Linked DNA regions of Drosophila melanogaster. Changing the gene in region 2 together with the main gene of any one other region gives a genetic interaction. Each region holds a gene or a part of one and is shown on either strand. Other genes may lie near its edges.

Region 1 (6,436 bases), about 17 Mb from region 2:
TCATTAATAGAAAATGGGCGGAACTTCAAGGGGGCGGGTGGGTGTTTCAAAAAGGGGCGGAGGGTGGCGATGGGGACTTTAAAGGACATGGAAACGCGACCTTCGGCGATTTTTCAATGGTCGCCGCGAGGGAAAACGTAAACGTAGAGAGAGTAATTGCGGGAATTGCCGATAAAAAGAATGCTAAATGTTGAATAATTATAGCGTATTACTCACCTCAGCGTGTGGGAATGGAGCAATGCAGCTGTTTTTCGCGCTGGAAGCTGCGGGTCAGGAGCGCTGGAACACTGGAACCCGGACTGGAACTTCCAATGAACGTAAGGGCGTGGCAGGGCGGAGTCGCGTTTTTCGTTTATTTTTAATCATTTTTCGAATTTGTCGGGCCTTTAGATTGCATTTTTATGTGGTTAAAATTAAATCGCAGTTTGATTGATTGACATAATACGAAGTAGTAATATTTCTTTTGATTTTCTTTTCACTGAACGCGTTCGGTTAACTTGGGTGTTTTTTTTTTTTTTTTGCAGTTGTTGTTGCTCTTGTTTTTGTGGTGAAAACGTGCTGATTTGCGCTATTGCTGTTGTAGTTGCAGTTTTGGGTTTTCATTTTCCCATTTATTCGTTGCTCGTTCAAAAGATCAAAAGGTGAATTAACGAATTGAATAAGAAATAAACGTGCATGTAATGCAGGTCTGACATTTGCAGTTGGTAATTTCGTGTGATCAAAACAGAAATCGACCAATTCGCGTGACCAGTTCGTTTGGTGCATTAACAAATTTGCATTTCCTACTTAGAAGCGAAAGCATTTCTTCGTGTATCTTAATCACAATAATTGTCAAAAACTCATACACATTGCGTTTATTGTTATTAGTAACTATAATGATTTTGCATTTTCCGAATTGTACTACAAAACGTGTGTAGATAATGCAGATTATAGGCCTTGATGAGCATGCTACTTGGATGCTTGGATTCTATATGATTTGTTCGTTTTTCATTGTGAGTGCAGAAAAAGTTGAGTTGATTGGTTTGATTTTATTTGTTAAATTGGATTTTACAGCCGCATGCCAGATGTTATGTATGAGTAGTATAGTTTTGAATTTGCATTCCGATTGTTAGTTTTTCAGATGTGGATCGGTGGGAGGAAAGAAAGGAAAAATAAATTAGGTTAATTAGAAAGAAAAAGTATTACAAACTGTGTGTGTGCGGTGCGGTGTGAGTGTGAGAAATGAAATCATAGCTGAAACCGAAATCCATTAATTTCTGTTAACTTTTCTGGCGATTACAAAAAACGGAAATCAACAAAAGGAAACTAGTTTTTCCGGTAGATTAAACAACAAACGCAAAAACTTGTTCAATTGTTTGCGCAACAAAACAAAGAAAAAAACTGAATAATCAACTTTAAATTTAACTGTTTGCCGATTAATTTGAAGCTGTCTATATATGTGAGTGTGATTGAATTGTTTACCCCTTTAAAATCGGCATTCCATCATCAACTTCCTCAACTTCTCATGTTTTCGTTTCGCATTATCATCTCCATTGAGAATGTCCGAGTTAGCTATTTATCTAGGTTTATATTTGTATATATATATATGCGCTGTGTTTGTATAATTTATATATTTCATATGCATTCAATAAATATGAACATGTTAAGTAAATAGCATTATAGTAAATAGTCAATATAGTTATTATATCGCATAATAAACAATCTTTTTATCATAAATATTCAAAAGTGAACTAGAGATTTGTTGCATCTTTCTCTTCTTCATCGGTGTTGTGAGTGTGTGAGTGATGAGGCTACTTTTGTGTGAGTTTTCAACAGGAGAACTAAACTAGCTAAACGAACAAAAACTAAATGCATTTTCAAAGTCGGAAAAACGACGAGGAAATCAACAAGATTTTCTTTCACTTTTCCCTGCAAAGCATTTGCAATGAGTGTGTTTTGTGTGTGTTTTGAGTGGAGTAGTGTTGTTCCTTTCTTTTTATTACAATTCTCGTTTTTTTTTTTTGCTTCGCATTATAACAATAATCAATAAAATTTCATGTTTTCTTTGTTTGCAATTACGTGTCTTGTAGTTTTTGTGTTTCAACTCTCTTCGTATTGGTTTTATAAATTTTCAATTAGCAATTTGTTTACAAGTACTAAAGATTCTGGTAGCTATAACTTGAGTTTCATGTGTTTTTGGGATAGACTCTGGGGACTTGAGACTCTTGCTTACTAACCATACATGATTTCTCTATATATTATAATAGCTATAATTGGTGTAATCGAGCCCTAATTTCGTGTGCATTTCTTTTTTTTTTTTGTATCGGGGGTTCACTGGTTGCGGTCTCTTACAGTTTAAGTTTCGATTTTGTCTTCTGCAATTTCTCTGGGTGGGTTGCGCAACATCCTATGTATATAGATCGGGTCTGGATGAGATATATAATGTGTGTGTGTGTGGAGAGGTGTGTGTGTGGAGTGAATGTGGCGTGTAAGTAATTGCATTCGAGATTTACATGAAATAACTGCTAACATATGAGGCCGCTAAGATGCCCAGCACAGTGAGGCAGATCAGTATCATGATCTTCTTTCGTCGGGCTTTACTCTGGTACTTGAGCGCCTTCTTGGTGTCCTGAGTTGCCGTCTGCACATAGTCCATAGCGTGCTCCACATGGTACTCAATGCGATCGATCATCTCGCCCTGCGACTCCACCAGCATGGCCATGTCCATGAACATGTCGTGCAGCTCCTTGATCGATGTCTCCAGCTTCATGATGTCCTGGTGGCGGGCCTCAATGTCCGCCAGCGTCTGTTTGGCCTGCTGCGTCTCCATGATGATGCCCTGCGTGAACACAGACGAGTTGCCCTCCTCCAGCATCTTCTCCAGCTCATCGTCGTTGGTCGGTCGTCCGGTAATCTCCAGTTGACGCTGTATCCTTCCCTTGCAGCGCTCTCGGTAGTCGGTCTGCGTGCGATTGTACTCGGTCATCACTTCGACGAATTTCCGTGACAACGTCGAGTGCTGCGTCTTCCGAATTCTCAGATCCGCCGACGACTTATTCTGCTGCTCTTCCTGCTCGATGTTCTGCTCGATGCCCTTGAGCTTGCCGCGAACGCGATTGGCATTCTTCTTGATGTCGGCCATCAGATCCTCCAGCTCTTGCTTGGTCTTCTCGTCCGTTTGTGGGGCGGACAGGATGGCCGAGTGCTTCTTCTTTACCTCCTCGACGTTATCCTGCACCTTGTCGATCATCCCGCGGATCTCCTCCACCTGGGCGAAGAAGTCGTCCATGTAGGAATCATGGCCATCCACATTGACGGCCACCTCCGTCTCCTCCTCGTCATCGGATTGGGCGGCATGGAGAGCGGCTAATCTGTCTTTAGTCATCTTTGTGTCGGGGTATTATCCTGGTTTTTGAAGGGTGTGCGAGAAGATTATTCTCGATTTGATAATTGGGGAGTTTCGAATTTCTGGGACTATCCTTGTTTACGGTGCAGTTTTCAAAATTTGTTGGATTTTTTTAAATATTGTTTTTTATGCTTCGTTGTTATTTGGCTCTTTCCCTTGGCCAAGCTTTACGTAAGCCTTTGTTACGCGGTCTTCGCAGATTGCGTTTTTGCGATTAGCAGTTAAACGTTAAACACGCACACACACATAAACCACACGTGTAAACGCGCGCGGAGTTTTTCCTTTTTCTTTTTTTGCAGCCTTGCTTTTAACTTGTTTGCACGTTTTTCCACTTTTGCGAGAGACCTTTTATTGATTTTCCGCTTTTGGCTGGCAGCTCTCTCTTTGCTCGGTTTACTTTTAGTGTATAATTATAACTTAACTGGCACTTTGGCTGGCGTTTTGGTTAATATTATTATGCTTTTTTCGTGTGTGTGTCGTTTGGTGTGGTGTTATTTCGCTCACAAGAGAGACGGAGAGAGAGGCAAAGAGAGCTCGTGTTGCGGGCGGCGGCAGAGACGTCGACTGCGGCAGAGCACCTCTTCAATGCCAGCAGCTAAAAAGCTAAAGCTGCTGCTGAATTAATTTTTCTTTTTTCTGTTTTTTTCTCTCTTGTTATTTGTGACTCACACTGGTACCATATAATATTAATCTTTTACTCGGCGAATTTGTTTGTTTCACTTTCGCACTGGCACACGCACACACATACACAAACACGCACGCAGCAGTGGCAATAAACGATTTTCGGCAGTGGGAGAGGCTACCGAAAATCTCTTAAAATGGGCAAAAAATCGATTTCTGCGCAAAGCTCCAATTCTGCCGTCTGCTTTTGCTGCTGCTTCTTCGTCTTTCTCTGCTTTATCTACTTTGCTTCTTCTTATTCGCGGGGGGTGTTACGGTGGGCGTTATTTGTTCTTTCTCTCTCCTTTTCGCTTGCGTTTTATTTTCGTTTGTTGCGTACGCGTCGTCGGCGCCGATTCAGGGTGTGTGTTTGAGAGGGACGCACGACCACCTATCACGCTCTCGCACACTGGTTGTCTGGGTTCCACGATTTGTTGTTGTCACCAATCGTTTCACATGCACATTTCTTTGTATTTATCTGAGGCAAATGTGTTGACAATATTTTTTTGATTTTTTTCACAAAAAACCAAATATTGTTTCGCGATTTTCCCGGCGGCCAAGAGTTTTTTTTTGTGTGATTTCGATGCGAGCCGAAACGAAACACAGCACCTCGCGCGGGCAAACAATTTTCGAGTGTGACCGTGCCGTCACTACCAGAATATACCTTCCGGTTCGCAATGATTTCCTATTAAATAACTACATTGAGTAGCTAAAAATACCAGACTAAAAACAGGACTAAGCGGGGACACCAACCAATTCTCACAATTTCGATGATTCGCGAATCAAGTGATTATGTGGATGTATTTGGATGTGGATCTTAAGAGAAAGAGCTGGAGCTCCTGCAATCTCTTCCTGGTATATTATAAATTTTGGTATTTTATATTATTTATAGAACAGGATATTTCTCTTTATATAATTTAATTGATATCTGCTCATCTTCATTTTAAAAGCTAAGCGTGGAAAAGATAATATTTTGCTGATGTAATCAAGACTTTATTGTGCAAGCCTTATACGTTTGATTGTTAAAAAAAAAACAAACTGCAAGTGGTTTCTGTTTTCCCTTTTGCCCGGCATTTTCGTCTTTTCACTTTTGCAAAACGCGTATTGAAATGTGCTAAAAATGCCGCCACATAAGTTCCATTACGTCAGTCCCACACAACAGCAACAACAATCAGCACGGGTTTGTTTGTGGATCCCATTCGCACTGAGATACGTCATGCGCGAGAATTTTCATGAATGAATCGCGACCGGCACTTTTGTTAAAGCGAATCGCGAGCTGAAAAGGAACTGGGGAATAGGCCGCAAAATGCAATAATATATATGCTCGGCATTTATAAATAAATATAAAAATTAAGTAACACCAAGGGTAGTGAACTGTTACGAAACGTTGCCCAACACTGGTCCTATTGGAGCAATATTTAAAAATTCACTTCGTTCAATTAGAAATTTAAAGTTACGAAAATTACATGCTAATTCACATAGAAACTTGGAAGGAAATTATTACAATTAAATTTTCTAACGAATTTGATTTAATCGAGTAAGAAAAGTAAATAGTTTAAGCCATCTGTTTAGAATATACCTGTAAAGGATATTTACTATTGTTTGCTATATTTATGGGTTCTAAAAATACCGATTTTTAAGAAAGGTATTCTGGCATGGTTTCCCCAAATAAGACATTATATAGGATCTTTGGAACTCACCGGATATTTCGTCTGTAGCACGACTCCGCATATCTCGTCGCCGACGAGGAACTGCTCCCCGAGCATCGCCATACAAACGTTCTCCCAGGCCCGGTCGACCTTGTTCTTGCGTAGTCGTATCAACCACTGGCCGCCCTTGCTGTTCGCCGGGTCCTCCCACATCGGTATGATGCCCTGCTTGAAGAGGAGGAGCTCCCGGTAGGGCTTCAGGGCGGTGGGCCGGATGAGGTGCGAGTAGAGCGACCACCACTGCTGCACGCTGGCGCACCGGCCGACCATGTGCAGCGACTTGCTGTAGTCGGCGGCCGCGCGCTGCGTCTCCTTGCGAGAGAACCAGAGGCAGTATGTGTGCTGCAGCCGGTTCTCGCCGGGACCCACCTCCAGTGGTGGCAGGTTGTCCACATCTATCTGATTATCCACATCGCTGTCGTCGCTGTCGACAATATCTGGCCAGTTTTTCCTGTAACGCGAGTACATGACACACAAAATAGATTTTGATTAGTATGTCAAAGGCTGTATGTAGATCAAATTTGACATTTGGTTCACCAAATGACACAACCGCCGCACTTTCACATAACTATCACAAATTCTCGCAGCCAAATTAAGTTTAACAAAACAAAAACGATGAAGCTGTCTATACGCATGCTGGACCAACGCACCATCACTTTGGAGATGAACGAATCGCAGGAGG
Region 2 (7,063 bases):
AGCATCTAACGTGAACATACTCAAACTCAACCAATTGAGTTTCATAGCAAATACAACTTACATACAGTTCCCTTTGAGGTCTTCGTACTCATTCTTTAGATTTGCATCATGCAAGCACTCGAACTTATTTTCATCGCTTCCATCCCAACAGTCGATCTTTCTATCGCAATTTAGAGTTCCATTTAAACACCCACCATAAAAACCCTCCTCATCGCAGACCTTGCTATAGCATAATTCGAACCTTTGATCTGGCCGATCGGAACTTTCATCTGGCAAACAATTGCCAATTATTGTTTTTAGTATTAGACTTCAAGGCAAGCGACCCATCTAATAGTAAGGAAAGCAGAAATGTGCAATCCAATGATATAATAGGTATCTGTTAGTCTGTACTCTTTTGTATAAGCAAGAATCTCCTCTTATCAGTGCTTTAAACTCTGTTAACTATAGTATACTCACAGAATTAAGAGAGCTGATAAGACACGTATTAATGCAAATAATTCGCAGTGCACATTGTTTTATATAATACCTTTTATTACTGAAATTAACCATTTGATGTAGCTTACAATTACAATTACATATAATGTAGAATTATACACATCTCATATAATTTGGGTTCCTCTGCACAAACTCTTTGCATATGTATTGGTAATTATTGTTTTTCCATTAGACGAATTGAAGTTTTGATTGGACACGAATTGAAGTTGTATCTGCGATTCTCGCGAATCGCTATGTATGCTTGTATATATCCTTATGGTTGTATGCACGTAGTTATTCAATGAAGTTTAATGCTCTAACACTCAGTTTACAAAATATACGTAGAAGCGGGCTGATGTCTATATAGATCTGGTATAGTTTATAATTGTATTCAGTACACTTAATATCAGTAGTGGATAATGATTCGGTGTCTTCGTTAAGCTATGCTTTCATCGGGGTCTCCTCCATCCGTTGCCTTTAAAGGTAGTGCCGCTAGATACACCTGTAGTGCTTATTGCGTTCGGTTTGAGCTATTCGTGAGTGGTTATACTCTAGAGTATGTTATTGGTAATTGATTCCTACATGTACTATGCTGCTTACATTATTGTATTGTGTTGGTTTCCTCTCCGAATCAATGTTTTCTGACTTTTTCGATCGATTTGTGTGTGGTTTTGTAGCTTCTTGGTGCTAAGCATTCTGCTGCGTGTTCTCTCTAGATTCAATTTGGTTTAGTTTTATTTGTTTCATTAGTTTTAGTTATTTGTTTTTATTTTTAAGAGTACGTATAAAGTGTTAAGCAGTAAGCATCTATCTTTGCTTCGTTCTGGACAAAACTTTAAGAGCTTCCGGGGTGTGCAAATTTGATGTCTTGTATCCATTAAAGCGATGGTATACTTTAGGTCTTTACAATCAAACTAAAATATTCAAATAATTAAAATTAAATTGTACAGACATATGTATGCTTAAACGTTAGATATCATAAATATTTTATACAGATGTATGGTTAATAATATATCTTTTGAGGAAATCAACTTCAGTGGTGGGCACATTAAATATAACTTCAACTATTTGATATGAAAATCATACATGAATATATAGCAACAAAGTCGGTGTCAGTTTAAAATATATTGAGAATTCCCCTGCCTTGCTTATTCTCATATTTAAACATGTCTATATTGAGATGTTTCTGAATTATCTTACACTTACATGCACTTTTAGGGTCCTAAACATTTTCTAATACATTTAATTTAGTTAGTGGTTGCTTGGTAAATATTTCTTTTCTGCTTGTGGCGTTAACGGCCAATTATCTCGCATTAATCTTGCTTCAAACTCAAAGCAAGTGATCTCCCAGAAATCAAGTGAAATATAAAGTAGAAAGTAGAAAATAAACTCAATCAATATGCAATCATATGCCAAAAACCAAAGAGAAATTCATGGTGGCAACGAGGTCACATGACTCCCATTTCGGTTGCCTGCTCCTGCTCCCTTCCCCCTCATTAAGGGGCGCCTGCGCCCAGGAGGTTCCTGCCCCTCCCCTACTCGTTCAGCTTGTGCCACTCGGCGATCTGGCGGCGCGGCGAGTTGCAAACCTCGTTCCAGTGGTTCAAGGCGGTGCTGCTCGAGTTCGGGCCGCCCAGCTCCAGCCGACCGATGACCTGTGGAAATATCGAGCGTGCAATTATCCAGCTATTGGCATTAGGTCATCCCATGCGACTTACCTCATTCTTGGTCACGCGATCCCAGTCGAGCAGCATCAGTTCCAAAGACACACCCTCAAGACTGGCGCCAGCGCCCTGTAATTGAGATATGCACGTTAACTTATGATTCTTTAAAATTATTATAAAAGCTTTTCAAAAATAGTCCGTCCATGTTTAAGTTCTATGATAATTATACGAACACAAGAAAACAATTAACAATTAATCTATGCTAGGTAATTGATATGGTGTTTCGTTAAACTACAAACAAATAGTAAATGAATATACTATTACTCACTTCGGCGGCGGGAATATCGAATGCGAAGCTCTCGTTGAAAACGGGGCTCAGAGTTCGTTTCTTCACGTGCGTCTTCTTCTTGGCGATGCGTTGGCCATTGTAGAGGAGATATATCTTAACATACGGATCGGCCAGTCCGGTGACATCCATGCGCGGTAAGTTTCGGGCCTTCAGCAAGACGACGGTGAGGCGACCGGCAGCTGGTTGCCAGCAGAGGGAGATGAGCAGCTCCCCGCGACCCTGGGCTCGAATCTTCAAGCTCCGTGGCTGGATCTCTTTGCTGATGGACAAAGCCTCTTTGGAGATGTCCCCGATCTCGATGGAGGTCAATGGGCACACCACTTCGCCAATGACGTCGTCACGTGAGTATCGATCGAAGCTGAGGATGACAAAGTGCAGCGACATGTTCTGCAGGTCGTTCATGTTCAGGCCGTAGAAGGTGAAGTCCTCGTCGTAAACCGGGTTCCGGGTATTTCGCACCACCCGGGTCTTGACCTTGTGCTGCTTGTCCGGCAGCAGCTGCAGCTTGACATACGGATCCGTTGCCGCCTGAGTGCGTCCATTCATGCCAGTGGGAATATCTCCGGTTCCGCTCGATCCTCCCTTGCAGGGGAGTCCGCGACAACGGATGATGGACACCATAAGGGCGTTCCTTTCGGCCAAGTAGCGCAGCTTAAAATAGATGGTACCCAGCTTGCCGTACTGGTCGGTCACGGTCAGCTCCTTCCCGTTGGTCAGCGAATGGTCGTCCAGGGTAATGGTCACACTTCCGTTGGCGATCGTCTCTACCGGCGAGTGGTGAAGGCTGTTGTGCAGCGAGTGCTTCAACCCATTACCATCCACCACGGTCAGTTGATTGCCATTCTGCTGCTCCGCATGCTGGGCGGGTCCATCTCCCTCCTCGCTGTACTTGACATTCGGTTGCGCAATCGGGGAGGTGGACTGGTCCTGCATCGGCGACAGCAGTCCCATCTGCTTGCCTCCCGTCGGCGAGGGCGACTTCTTCAAGTAGTGCGGCGGCTGGCCGCTGGGCGATCGAACGGCGGTCGGTCGCCGGGTCGGCTGGAAGGGGAACGAGGCGTCGTGCTGGCTCTGTTTCTTGTTCCGGAGGCGCATCTGCCGGGCGCAGATGCAGGCCACTGACGAGAGGACAGCAGCCGCAGTCAGTCCCAGGATGGCGGGGACAACTGAAAGGACAACAGGTATGTTAGGCAACATATGCATAGTTTAGTTGTACCCAAAACGTTGTCTTCGATTGAAATATGTGCAAGGTGGTGATGGGACAATGTCACTAGTGTAACCTTAAAGCCATAAACAAAAGTAAAATTTACTCGTATTGTGTTGGAAGTTTTGAAAAACCCACTGTTAACTAGCACTAGCACCCCATTCCAGATTACATATATAGACGCTCAATATGCAATCTCAAAATTATATAATGGGATAATTAAAAGAATTTAAAACATAATAGAAAATTATATAGAACATTTTATCATTATAAATCTAATACCGAATATTAAATTTAAATATCCAATAATAACAAAAAGCGTTTTATTTTCTATCTTTTACTAATATCCGAAAACACAAAAGAAAACGTTTAATCACACTTTTGAATATGTTCTGTAATTAGTCACCGAAATGAAAAAATAGAAAGAACTTTTCTCCCTAACACAGCTGTGAGTTGTTTGTAGACTTCCTTTGTTATTAGAACATTAACTTTCGCCAATTCGTTTTGAGCTTATACATTTCACCCCAAATAAAAGAGCACAACAAATAACACATGTGCACGTATCCCCTTCGAAACCTGACAATCCAGGCACAAAGACCCGAATTAATTATTCATAGCCACCGAAAAAGTTTGGCACAACTTGTGTGCAACATTTTGAACAAGTTGCTAATGAGCAAATTGGACTGATCGACCACTAAGGTCGCATTGGATGCTGCAATATGGTATGGTACTTACTCGTGTCCATGACGCTGGCATCTGGGATATACTCTTCGGCCATTTTAAATGGATTTGGCTTAGCCGCTCTCAGCACGTTTCCACTCGATGTTCCTGGCGGCTGTGTGGAATAACAATTAGTCACGGTTTAAAAGTGAGGAGGAAAAGTTTTGCTGGCTGTCTTTGGATGTTTGCAACTTTCGGTGGCACGTGAAGAATTGCGTGCTTCGATTTTGCGCACAAATGTATGCTAGAGGCTTTTTCGTGAGCAGCAGCTGCCTGCTTTCTGCTCAGGTTATGCTGACGTTTGGCTTTTGTTGTTATTTGCATTACTTGAGGACACCCACTCAGGCACACTTTCTGGCAAGAGAGCGGGAGAGACACACACACACACACACACATATGAGCCACTTGGGTGCTCTTCTAGGGTCGCATGAATCATCGCAGCCCTTGCACACACGCACACGAAGTTTGCAGGTTTTTCAACTTCTGGAAACCATTTTTAATGGGAAGTCCCACATTTAGAAATGTTCCTTTCTTTCATTTAGGTCTTCGTAACGTTTTGAAAATATTCCCTTTTACTATCACTTCCAGTATCTGTATCTATTGTTTATTGCAGCATCAGAGATTCTCGGAAAAGCCATAGTAGCCACTTGATAGTTTTTACGTTTTCCTCGTAATCCTGTTTACGCCTACATTTTACTTGCTTGAATGTATTATAGCCTTACTTTTTTGTATCTGGTCCTGCACAATTAATATCCAAAAATTGTAATATTTTTCACATCCACAAATTGTGGAAAAAAAATCAACAACGCAGTTCTGCAGCCGTTCGACTTTATTTTGCCAGTGGCTTCTTAACTTGGCTGGGAAATCGTTAAACTCGCGCAGGCGCACGAGCAAGCAGCTTTTTGTGTGGGTTGTTTAGCCGAAAGCGGTGGTTGAAGAAACCTGTGACGTCTTAGCCGAAGTCAGGGGTGCTTAAAGAAAGTTTTACAACACTAGACCATATTCATGAGTAAAGGGTTGAGTAATAAAATACATAAAAAGTTATAAAAAGGTAAAATTTAGACCAATTTAGACCTACTCATTGCAAACACTCAAAAGCTCCCGGTTCAGACCAAGTTTCAGAGAGCGCAGCTTTGCGGCCAGCTTTAAGCTGTCTTTCGTTGAGTTCGAGCTTTTCGTCAGTTTAAAAAGACTGGCGCCTGCTGGTCAGAAGCTGAGTCGGTAACGGTCTGCGTCTGCGCGCAGTTCGAACAAGTTGAGAAAGAGACCAACAGAAAGCCCATCCAAGTGCAGTGATCAATACGGGTAACTGACAAAAACCCTAGAAGTCAGGGCTTAAAAACGATTTTGCAGCGCTGCCAGTGTTTTTGTGTGATAAAAAAAAGCGGCTCAGAAAAACTTGCTGACAGCAGATAGCACACACGTTTTTGTCGTCTTCGGGCCATTGAAAAATTTTCCCGAGGCATTTTCTATAAGGAATAAACAATTAATTCAATATTTAAAGCATAAAAGGAAACTAGACACCACATCACCGGACTCTACGATCGTAAGTTGATGCAATCGTCTTTATTTCTATTATTTGCTGCCTTTTCGGTTTTTGCACAACCCCAAAATCCAAAAATTCGCGATGTCCGTTTCTGGCATTGAGGAATCTCAAAAGATTTGGACAGCTTTTTGGCCCGAAGTCTGCTGGAAATTTGCCATTGTCATAAGCCCAAGAAACGGAATTTTGTTCGGTCTTCTGATGGCTCACGGCGATAAATTTACTGCACTTTGTTTGCAATAGCTCCAATTCGATTCGTTTGTTTTTCTGGCACAGAGCACAGTATGCCTCACGATTTCTGCTCTAGACACGTTTCTAATTTAGTTACTGGTTTATATTTCTTTTTCCACACATATCAAAAACGGTCACCCATTGTCTGCCATTTGACCACTAATCTGTTCGATTTTGTGCTCAATTACCCAGGGTATTATTCGAATGAAAAAGTGCCCACATTTAGGTGTTTTACGATACCAGCCAGTTCATTAAACGTCCATTGCAGTATTAGGAAATTAGCCCGGTTTCTCACCCGATTCCACCGCTTATTAGCCACCACCTCATTTTGACGGAATGAGTCGTATTGTAAAAGACAAACTACTTGCGCTTATTTATGTTGAGCACATTTCTTTCGATCCCAATTTCCGTTTGGTGCTAGCTTTGAAACCGACATATTCAGGCTAATAAGCCTACTTTTTTTTCATAAATTACGTTTGAGTCAGTATTATTTCTTATTTCAAACGATATTTCTATTAATATAAACAGAGGAGAAATATTTATAATCAATGATTAGTCATGACAAATATCAAAATCCCCAACAAATTAGTAACACCTTTCCTTTTAAATGAAATGAGCTGATATACACAATTTCAACGGAATCTCTAAAATATATAATCATTATAGTAAACATTACAGTCATGAAGAGGGTAGCAAAATAAAAAAAGTGATTCCCAACAAAATGTTAACTTTTGCAAAGGAGCTTTGAGCTAAAAACGCACAGGACTTACACATTTCTTTTGAACAAATCAACAAATAATTCCTATGCTCGCACATTTACACCTGAACCCATTAAAAAAGAGTTCGCATTTGTGTGCCTGGAAATAAGGTATCTCGAT
Region 3 (4,701 bases), on a different chromosome or scaffold from region 2:
TAATGACCCACTGTTGCAATTTTCGGGCAGAGCAGAGCCGTGGAATATCAGCTTGATGACCTAAAAATAGAACAAGTGACCAAAGACAAATAAAAAAATGAGAGTCGGCGATGGCGAATAGTATGTGGCAAATGGCGGAGAATAGCGAAGGGCGAAAGGATAAGCAGCGAAAAACAGGGTGGCAAAGTAGCACAACAAAACCTGTGTTGACAACGACTTGGGTGGTTATATATGGCAAATGCTTTAGGGCGAAAAGGACTTCTCACACACACACAAACACACACACGCGCGAACTGCTTCTGCTCCTTTTCGCGGCAAATTCGGATAAAAGGAAGTCACGGCGAAACGGCGGACAACTGCCTGGTTCGCCCGAAAACGGAGTTACCCAGAGAGGAGGAACTTTTTCAGTGCTCAGTGCTCGACTTTTTTCCGCATCCTTGTGTCCTTTTTCAATACTGCTCTGCGTTTCACGTGCGCGCGAAAATTGCATAAACACAAACAAGCCGCGACTCGCTGCCTCGACATTTTTTTTTACAGTGCATCCAATCCAGTGAGACATTATCCTGCCAATTGAGTGCTCATTTTACGTTTTTTTTTTCGTGTGTCTAAGTGAAAGCCATCAAGTGTGTGAATACAATTTACAAGCCCATTTTAAATATCTATTGAAGAAATATAACAAGTTTAGTAGAAGGAATCAAATAAACTAACGACATAATTCACATAATTGGCACAAGGACAGCAGAAAATCTAACATATAAAAAGAAATAAATATTAAAAAAAATAATTTCAAGCCATTCAAACAATACTAGGGGGTGCTTTTAGTGGGCCATACAAATTATTCGAAATTTTTTCTTCCGATAATATTTTTTTCAATTTTTTTTACATTTCTGTCACCTTTTGTGAATGAGTTTTCCCATCAAATTTTCCAATTTAAGCTGGGTTTCAACAACTTGTTCGCTTTTCCGCAGGCGACGCTGACGAAATTGAAACTAAAACCGAAATAAAATCTGCAAATAATAATAATAATACTATTAGTCATAATACGGAAAACCAATTATAATCATAGCAACAGTTGAGAAACCAAGCCGAGGCAAACTCATTTAAATATCCCAGCCAGGTAGCCAGATACTAGTAGAAATAATACAACAAATAATATTAACATTAACTATAAATAATAAATTGAAACAGCTCTGGGAACAAAACGCAACGTTTGATGAAAATTTCTGGCAACACGTCTTGGTTGTTGTTAAGCACGCAAAAAAATTAAATAAAAAAACCAATTCAAATACCCAATGATAATGCAGATTTAACAAACAAAACCAAAACAAATAAAAGCAAACAAAAATACAAATATAAAAAAAAAACCAAACAAAAAAACCAAAAAACAAAACAAACAACAAATTCATCTTCTACTTGTTCTACCGCTTCAACTTTATTCGTCTTCGTCTCCGTAATATATATATATATATAAAATATACATATATATATATTTATATATATATATATCTATGTATATGTATGCATATGTGTGTGAGTGCGTCGCGTGTGTGTTGGTGCCTGTAAATGTGTGAGCCACAACAACAACAACTACAACAACAGCAGCAGCAGCCAGAGCCACAACCACAACAACAACAACAGTAGTTAACAGCAGCAACAATTCTTAGCAGCAGCAGCAACAACAACAATACAAGCAAGCACGCTCACAACAAAAGCAGCAACAGCAACAACAACCACAATAGCAACTACAGCAACAACAACATCAGCGGATAGAGCGAGCAGCCAGGCACAACATCGATAGACATCGATTAACGGTAGGTAATCGAAGGCAATCGAAAAAATCCATTTAATATGTATTTTATTATCACATTCATTGCACTTTTAATTATGCTAATGATATTTAACCCTAAACAGAGGAAAAAAAATCGTGAAATTTTTTATTTGTTGAGTTTCAACTATTTCCGATACCTTGAATGATTTATTCTTAAGACTAAACGATCTTTCGAGTCTAAAAGAACCACTTTTATGATGAATTCTTACAATTAACACATAGTGGAAATGTATTGAAAATAATTATGTTATCTATGTTAGAGCAAACAGGCTAACAATGTGTTATATTAGAAATTCTCAGCTCTTACTTAACTTACTTCTCAGCTCAAAACAAAGTCATTAATTTACTTTTCATTTTGGTCAAAGAGAACTACATTTTACTGGGTCAATGGTTCAACTTTCATTGAAAGTTTTTAAGAAACCCACATTTGGTATTCCCATCGATTGCAATTTTAATATAGAATACCAAAAAGGGCAATTTACGCTGCACGTCAAATGAGAATTTAGAAAGCAATTGTGTCTTTCGTATGTATTTCAATATTTGAATAGCTAGAAAAGTGTGAACGGAGCAGTGGGCGACTTGATGAACTTGGCTCGATTATGTCATGCCTCCTTGGTGAAAATCCCAGTTAACCAGGCCCGACCTCAAGACCATATCAATGGGGTATCTGCGCCCCTTTTTGTCCCGCCCACTGGCACGCCCCTTTGCTTTTGGGCTACAACCTTTTGCTGGCTTTTGGAGGGCAAACTTTCAGCTGCCACAAAAAAAAAAAAAGAACAGAGCAGAGCAGAGCAGAAAAAAATGAATGATGAAGGTTGAGGGGGGGGGGTGTTTCTAACGGAATTCCTTTGCTCACGCACACATTGAAAGGAGGTTCGTTAAGAGAGAAGGGAACCCAAAAATGTATTGTTGTAGTCCGTGTTTGTTGGCGGCATCACACAGAGAAGTGAGAGCGCAAGAGAGAGGGCACTGGCTCTCTCGGCGCAGGCAGGAGGAGAGTGAGAGTCCTCGCTCTCTCGCCAGCCCATTGCGCTCTCCCATGCAAAATTCATTGACTAACAACATGCTAACTTCGTTCAGTTTTTTGCTGTTTCTGTTTGTTTTTTTTTTTAGTTTTTTAGTCCTTTCCTTGCCATCGAATTTTGTTCAACAATTAATAGGGTAGCAGATATTCTGTGTTATATTGCCAAATCGATACCTTGGGTTGGCTAAGGAAAACGTTTTGCGTTTCGCTCATGTGTTTGTCATGTGTCATTTGCATATTGACACAAATTCCGGCTCGGGTTGTTTTTTATTTCAATTCTTGTTTGCGGTTTTTCGCATGACTCATCGACCCAGCGAATGGCCAAAAATTAATTCGGCAAACAGAATTTTGCGAGTGTCATGAATGGAAACAGACACACATAAATATATGCTCATATTGGCACATCCACTGCCACTCTGTGTGTGTGTGAGAACGCTACCCTATGCTTCATGCCTCCGTGTGTGTGTGAGTGTGGCGAAATATCGAACTGACCTACTTTTATGCTCGATACACACACACACACACACACGCACACACACTGGCGCGCTCACACATACACACACGCAGCCAGATTGGCAAATGGAAAAAGAGTGCTTTGACCTTAGCGGAGGCTGCTTATGTAAGCCCAATATCCGAAGACCGCAGGAACATCCGTAACCGAATCTAGATTCAATTCTCACATTTTCTGTAGTAGCGGTAGAAGGTAGTGTTAGACCGTTTCAAATAAATGAAGTGCTTATAATATTATCTACATTTTAAAAATCATAATCGTATTACCTATTACTAAGCTATCTATGTAAGTCAAATCCAAAATTTATACAAACAAGCAAGCGGCGTCAATAAAGTCATACGCATTAAGGCTCAGTTCAGTCAAGTCAACCACTTTTCACAAAAAATCGTTAAAAATCGTTAATTTCTTCGAACGTCGCTATATTAAAAAAACGCAAGGCTCAATTCAGTCAATCCTTATCTATTCCAACTCTGAGTAAGCGAGCAAGCGAAAAGTGTGTGAAAATGGCTTGGAAAATGCTCTTCGCCATTTTGTTGCTGCTGAGTGCGGCCAAAACCGGCTATTTGGCCCCGGAGTCGGAAAACTCTGTGGAGGATGTGCAGATAGAGCCCGGCGCCATCTATGGCGATGAGAAGTTTGCCTACAAGAGTCCGGTGATCGATGCCGAAAAGTTTTACTTTGCGGATCACTTCGACGACGTGGAGGCATCCCGAAAGAGATGGGTACTGTCGCAGGCCAAGAAGAACGACATCGCCGATGAGATAGCCAAATACGATGGCATCTGGAACTGGGAGTCTCCGCAACGCATCTTTTGGGCAAACGATCTGGGTCTGGTGCTCAAGTCGAAGGCCAAGCATGCGGCCATAGCCGCCCCCTTTCGCCAGCCGTTCGATTTCAAGTCGAACAAGCCGCTGGTGGTGCAGTACGAGCTTACGTTGCAGGAGGGTCAGGACTGTGGCGGCTCGTATCTGAAGCTTTTGTCCGCCGGAAAAGGCACGGAGCAACTAAATCGCTTCAATGACAAGACACCCTATACCATCATGTTTGGTCCGGACAAGTGCGGCAACAATTTGAAAATGCACTTTATATTCCGGCACGTCAATCCATTAAATGGCAACATCACCGAAAAGCACTGCAAAAAGCCAAATGCCCGTTTGGGAGTGCCATTCACGGACAAGCTACCCCATCTCTACCAGCTGGTGGTCCGTCCCGATAACAGCTTTGAGATTCGCTTAGACCACAAGATCATCAAAGAGGGTTCCCTGCTGACCGACTTTGTGCCACCAGTCAACCCACCGGCGGAGATAGATGACCCCAATGACCACAAGCCAGAATCGT
Region 4 (5,003 bases), 3.0 Mb from region 2:
AAAAGTCCTTGTAACAAAAGAAACTATTCCGCCTTGCAGAGGCGTGTGTGCCAACCTAACGACCCTTTGAGATACGTTTTCTTGTCGGCAATGATTCCGGAATTTCCGGAATTCCGGACAGTTATCTACCCTGCACAATGAGCAACTCATCGACCGCCATGGAGGCATGGGCGCCGGGCCACAGAGATAGGAGTATCTCGATTTCAGTCGAGTCTCGGCTGACATATCAAACACAAAGACTGGCACAAGCACATGCGGAAAATTATCATTTGTCAAAATCACAACATGAAACCGTTTTAAATTTAGCCACTCTGCAGCTAGACGCTAAAGCCGCCGCATCCCTCAGCTTAAGCCCGCACGCCGTCCTGCGGCAGCCGCCTTGTGCTTTTGCAGGCCCGAAATGACAATGTCTGTGGCTGAAGCTGAAACTGGGAAAATTTGAGTTGTCATCTTTGCGAATTCTCATTGATTGAAAACGACCGTACCAACCATCAAGGCGGCAGTTCTGGCTGCTTTGGACGGCGGGTTTTCAATATCATTATTTGTGACGGGGGACTTATAACTTCAATTTACAAATGCCAATTGAAAATACCTAGAAGAAAAGCAATTGTAAATTTCGCGGCGGCGGGGACACGGCCTCAGCAATACCGTTAGTGTGGGCGTGGCAAAAAAATGTTTAGGATGCCGATAGAAATTAGAAAGACATTATAAAATCAAAAAATCTCTACCCAACATTAAAAAGTGCGGGTATGGCAGTTTGGGCGGATTTTGTGCATTAGAGCCGGCGTGGTAAAAAGTATTTCGGCAAATCGATTGCAAAAAAGACTACAACAAAATTAAAAAAATATGAAAACATTTCCAAAAGTTGTGGGCATGGCAGTTTTGGGTGGATGGTGAGCGTTAGATTGGGCGTGACCACATTTAGAATGAATGGAATTTTCATGTCCAATCTCAACTCTTTAACTTTAATAGTTCCTGACTTTGCTGATCACAAATATTTATACTTTACGCTTCCCTTTACCTGTTGCATACTTTTCAACGAAGATAGTACACCATTTAACGAGTATAACAAGTTGTTAAATCATCCGCACTTATTAATTGTGAGCATATTTGTATAATTCCTATAATGGTATAGACATACTGTTGTAATTAATAAACAACAGTCGAAGAACTCTACTACTAATCTACTAATGATACTTTTAATCACCTAAACGTATCAGTCTATGAAAAAAGAAGCCATATAAATTATCGCGGCTGAACTAAATGCTGCTAAAAATGTCCAGGCGAACGGGTCTCCTGGCTGTCATTACCTCTTAAAAAAGCTGGAGCAGTGAGCAAAATGTGGCCAATTTTCCTCACGTCGTCTGATGATACGGGAGGCGAATGTGCGAAATACGCCTGAAAAAAATAATCATAACTGGGCAAATAGGCGATGAAGCAATCCCACTTTCCCATTATGACGTGTATGCTCTAATTAAATAATTTATATAAATTGCCACCGTTACTCCCACGCAAAAACCCGCAGGAATTTCCTGTTCCGCCGCACTCGAGCTTATCCTGCAGGAGCAGGCCCTGGTCGGAATCCCGGCGTATCGACAACCAATTCGGGCATTAGCTGCTATCAATACGCTTCTTCCGGCGGGTGTGTTAAAAAGCAAGGCCCACAAAGGATGTGGTGCTCACATGTTCAGAAATTAGCGGAGGATAATCTGTCACCGGTTCCGCTTCCGAGCAATCCCTGCCCGTACATGGTGCACTTTATTTATCGCAACGCCAGACTACGAGGCTTATGTAAGCGTGCCAGTCAATACTGATGAGGAATGGGAAAGGGGACTCCTTGTCTAGCAGGGCGTGCAAGAACGCCGTCTCCGGCAGAAGGGAAAGTCGTTATTAACCAACAATTCGGCTAAAAGCTTTCGGCCAGCAAGCTTTCGTTTTGTTTGGGGCCAACTGTCAAAACTGACAGCAGTGCTCTCTGCGTTGGGGACTCTCTTCGCGTTTCGGCGGCTGTTGTTACCACAAGAGCTGCTGGCTACCAGTATAACGTTTTCGGCAGTTAATGTAGTTTCGGTCACCAGCAGCAGCACCACCGCCCCAGAGCGAACTTTTCGGTTTGTATACGGGTCCGTGACGAGTGGCAATCAGTGCGATATTGCAGAGTGTAGCGTGCATTGGTGTGGGGAAAGTACCCAAGCCCTGTGGTTCTCCGTGACCGACTGTTTAGGTAGACCCCACGGTCCGCGGTCCGCCCTCCTTCCGCGCAAGTCCCCCACGCCAGCGGTCTAATGGCCAGTGGACTATGTCCCCAGCCTTTAATGCCCTAGTGGCCAGGTCGTGACTATCATACTAAACAATGAGCTTCGCTTTGTCGAGCCATAAGTAATAAGCAATTTGTGGAGGAAAAATTATCTCACGCTGTGCAGCAAGGACTTGCTGGAGTGAACTTCAGTTGTATACGGGCGAGGAAGGCAGCTAACCTCCCATTCAGTGCCAATCCACCAAGCTGTCTGCCAAAACGCTATGAAATTATAATTGATTGAGCGGAAAACAATGACGCCATCTTAGTCGGCCATATTGGTATGAACACTGTCGGATCTGTGTCGCACTAATTAGAAGTCTGGAGTATTCTCCTGCGCCCTTGGCAACCTTGATAGGAGCTCTTGTCACGACATAGACTTTGACCCGACCACTGTCCGATGGCGGACAGATGAGCGGATGTGGCCAGATCTTTGCAATTTCCTCCTTTAAAGCTATGTGCTTCCGGTCCCGTCTTCCTGCTGCCTGGTCAGCACAGTCCGCCCAGCATGTACACACGAATGTGTGCAAACAAACGAGAGTGGCACTGACAAGCCAACAAAGGCCGTTCCAGTGGGTTGAGGGCGCAGCCGAGGGATGCGGTGCAGTTCGGCTGGTTCTCGCTCCGAGTGGTGATAATGGCTCGTAGTCACAGCGAGCGTCTTATCAGTACGGCATAGCCTGATGCTAAATGTTACAGGAACACTAACACGACCGCCACGAATCGATATCGCGTATACGCTATTCGGCGCAGGCGCCATCTCCCAAATGTAGGCAGCGCTTTTGCTGCTGATTTCAAAGTCAAAAAGTCAAGAAATTGAGACCGAGAAAGAGAGCGAAGGAGGAAGAGAGTGAGAGCGAAAGACATTGAGAGGGATAGAGATAGAGGGGAATCGAATTATGTAACAGACAAAAAATAGCAGTCAGATAAATATATTAGAGAGACAGAGAGATAGAGAAAGGGGGCAGGGTAGGGTTCTTTCAGTCCTGGCGGTCCTGCAATCTTGCCGTCAAACGAGTCCCACCCCCACCATTGTTGCCCTTATCTATGTGAGTGCCTGTGGTGCTCGTTTTCTCTCGGCAAGCCGAGCGGGAAAGCACTCAAACCCGAGCCCGAGAATTTTCGGACGGCGCTAAAGCTCGGTCCCTCGAAGCCCGCTATTCACTGGATTTCGGGGCCGCAGCGGCGCGGTCGGCTCCGACGCCACTGCCTCCGCCAACGCTTTGTAAGGCGCTCGCATGCGGAACAGCGGCAACGAGCCACGTTTACCGAGTTTTTCGTGTAGGGTACTCTGGCAGTGGCGTGCAGAAGAGTGCGAACATAGCATGAAGTAAGAAGCGCCGAGAAAACATAGCGACGGTCTAGTGAAAAGTGGCAAGCAAAGCAAAAGTATTAAGCACACACACACTGCCAGTGCGCACGGACACACACAGCACACTCCCGCACCAACACACTAGAGCAAGTGCGTGTACATAGAGGGTTTGTGTGGGGCACATATGTGCCCGCACGATGTCGATACTGGCTCACATTGGTAGTATTTAAAAAGCGACGAACGGCCCGAGCTCGAAAGCACGACTGAAAACCTAAATTGATTAAGCGAATTTGTTCTATCAAGCTAATTCAATTGCTCGGCCAGTTGACTGAGTGATCCACTGCAAGCGCAGCCTTATGTAATCGGAATCAGTGAAAAAAGCGAAACACGGCGGCCGCCAAAGGAATACGACTCCAGGACCCGAGTCAAATCGAATTTGTTTGCTGCGCGTATTACGTAAAGTAAAAATCTTGTTTGCTTGTGGCACCCGCCTCCTCGAACCCCTCCCCACTCAAAAAGGCACTTACGTGCACGCTCCCATAAAAGAAACCCTAATAAAGAAATATCGATAAAAGCAACGAAGCAAGTGGCACGCCAGCACAATAACGACGACGACAAGCGAAACATCGGTAACAATGCGACCCCTGGGGGTGTTGGTGTGTGTGTCTGCTATTTTTAAATTAGCGCCAGTCCTCTAGGTTCGGCTCGACCCCGCCGAACCCTGAAACCCGTAACCCGGGAGCCATATAACCCTGGAAGCCCAGAACTCTGCACTGTGAACAACTAAACGACGCCTTCTGTGTCTCTGTTTGTCTTTCAGGAAGCCTATCTGCCTAATGCACGCTCTTCACAGTGGATTTCCTTAGAACAAACACATTTCGCGCAGACTAGTCGGAACTTTGCTCCTCATCAACCAAGTCCACGCACTCACAGGAATCTTCAAGCAAAATCTGAAAGGAATACTTGCTGAACTAAGGCCAGGTATGTGGGTGGTCCATCAACCTAAAAAGTGTCGAAAGTATGCCCCAAGTATGCTCCAAACTTGCTCGCACTTTATTTCAAATATTTGTGCAAAGTGTTCGTCCGCATCCTGCACATTTTACGCGTAGATTGCTCGAAGGCAGCAAAAAGTTCCAAGCTCATTACGCAATCGTTCGAGTCCTCAAAATAATGCGAAGACTATCCAAAGACGAAACGATCGCAGTGCTCCATAGCTGCTTCGCCTGAGGCGTATACATGATATACTTGAGGTATACTTACCCTTTTATGGCCAAGGCCAAATGCTTAGGAGCGTGGGTGCAGCGTTGGGTCGGAGTCACACACAGCTTATTTGCGTATTTATTGGCTTTGGTTTTCTGACTGGATCCCGTATTAGAAAACTTTAAATGTAACTGG

The links.
Region 1: of Syt4 (region 2) and Syx1A, changing one suppresses a phenotype caused by changing the other (phenotypic suppression), as found in Drosophila melanogaster (one study listed by BioGRID).
Region 3: of Syt4 (region 2) and para, changing one suppresses a phenotype caused by changing the other (phenotypic suppression), as found in Drosophila melanogaster (one study listed by BioGRID).
Region 4: of Syt4 (region 2) and cpx, changing one suppresses a phenotype caused by changing the other (phenotypic suppression), as found in Drosophila melanogaster (one study listed by BioGRID).

The regions. Positions count from the first base shown.
Region 1 is NT_033777.3:24,101,080-24,107,515, forward strand, and holds Syx1A (syntaxin 1A), read right to left. Parts: upstream 4,685-6,436; 5' UTR 3,365-4,684; coding exon 2,493-3,364; coding exon of another isoform or gene 2,489-2,492; exon of another isoform or gene 968-2,488; coding exon 949-967; coding exon of another isoform or gene 719-948; 3' UTR 521-718; downstream 1-520. Other genes in the region: eIF4EHP (eukaryotic translation initiation factor 4E homologous protein), read right to left, coding at 719-967, 5,746-6,205; CG10694 (uncharacterized protein), read left to right, coding at 6,370-6,436.
Region 2 is NT_033777.3:7,264,259-7,271,321, reverse strand, and holds Syt4 (synaptotagmin 4), read right to left. Parts: upstream 5,258-7,063; 5' UTR 5,134-5,257; intron 4,527-5,133; 5' UTR 4,470-4,526; coding exon 4,427-4,469; intron 3,654-4,426; coding exon 2,467-3,653; intron 2,268-2,466; coding exon 2,193-2,267; intron 2,130-2,192; coding exon 2,010-2,129; 3' UTR 513-2,009; downstream 1-512.
Region 3 is NC_004354.4:16,524,387-16,529,087, reverse strand, and holds the start of para (paralytic), read left to right. Parts: upstream 1-1,673; 5' UTR 1,674-1,811; intron 1,812-3,672; exon of another isoform or gene 3,673-3,866; coding exon of another isoform or gene 3,867-4,701. Other genes in the region: Cnx14D (calnexin 14D), read left to right, coding at 3,867-4,701. UniProt on the Drosophila melanogaster protein: Mediates the voltage-dependent sodium ion permeability of excitable membranes.
Region 4 is NT_033777.3:4,278,246-4,283,248, forward strand, and holds the start of cpx (complexin), read left to right. Parts: upstream 1-1,975; 5' UTR 1,976-2,111; intron 2,112-2,139; exon of another isoform or gene 2,140-2,577; intron 2,578-3,459; exon of another isoform or gene 3,460-3,758; intron 3,759-3,918; exon of another isoform or gene 3,919-4,237; intron 4,238-4,379; exon of another isoform or gene 4,380-4,428; 5' UTR 4,429-4,589; intron 4,590-5,003. UniProt on the Drosophila melanogaster protein: Positively regulates a late step in synaptic vesicle exocytosis.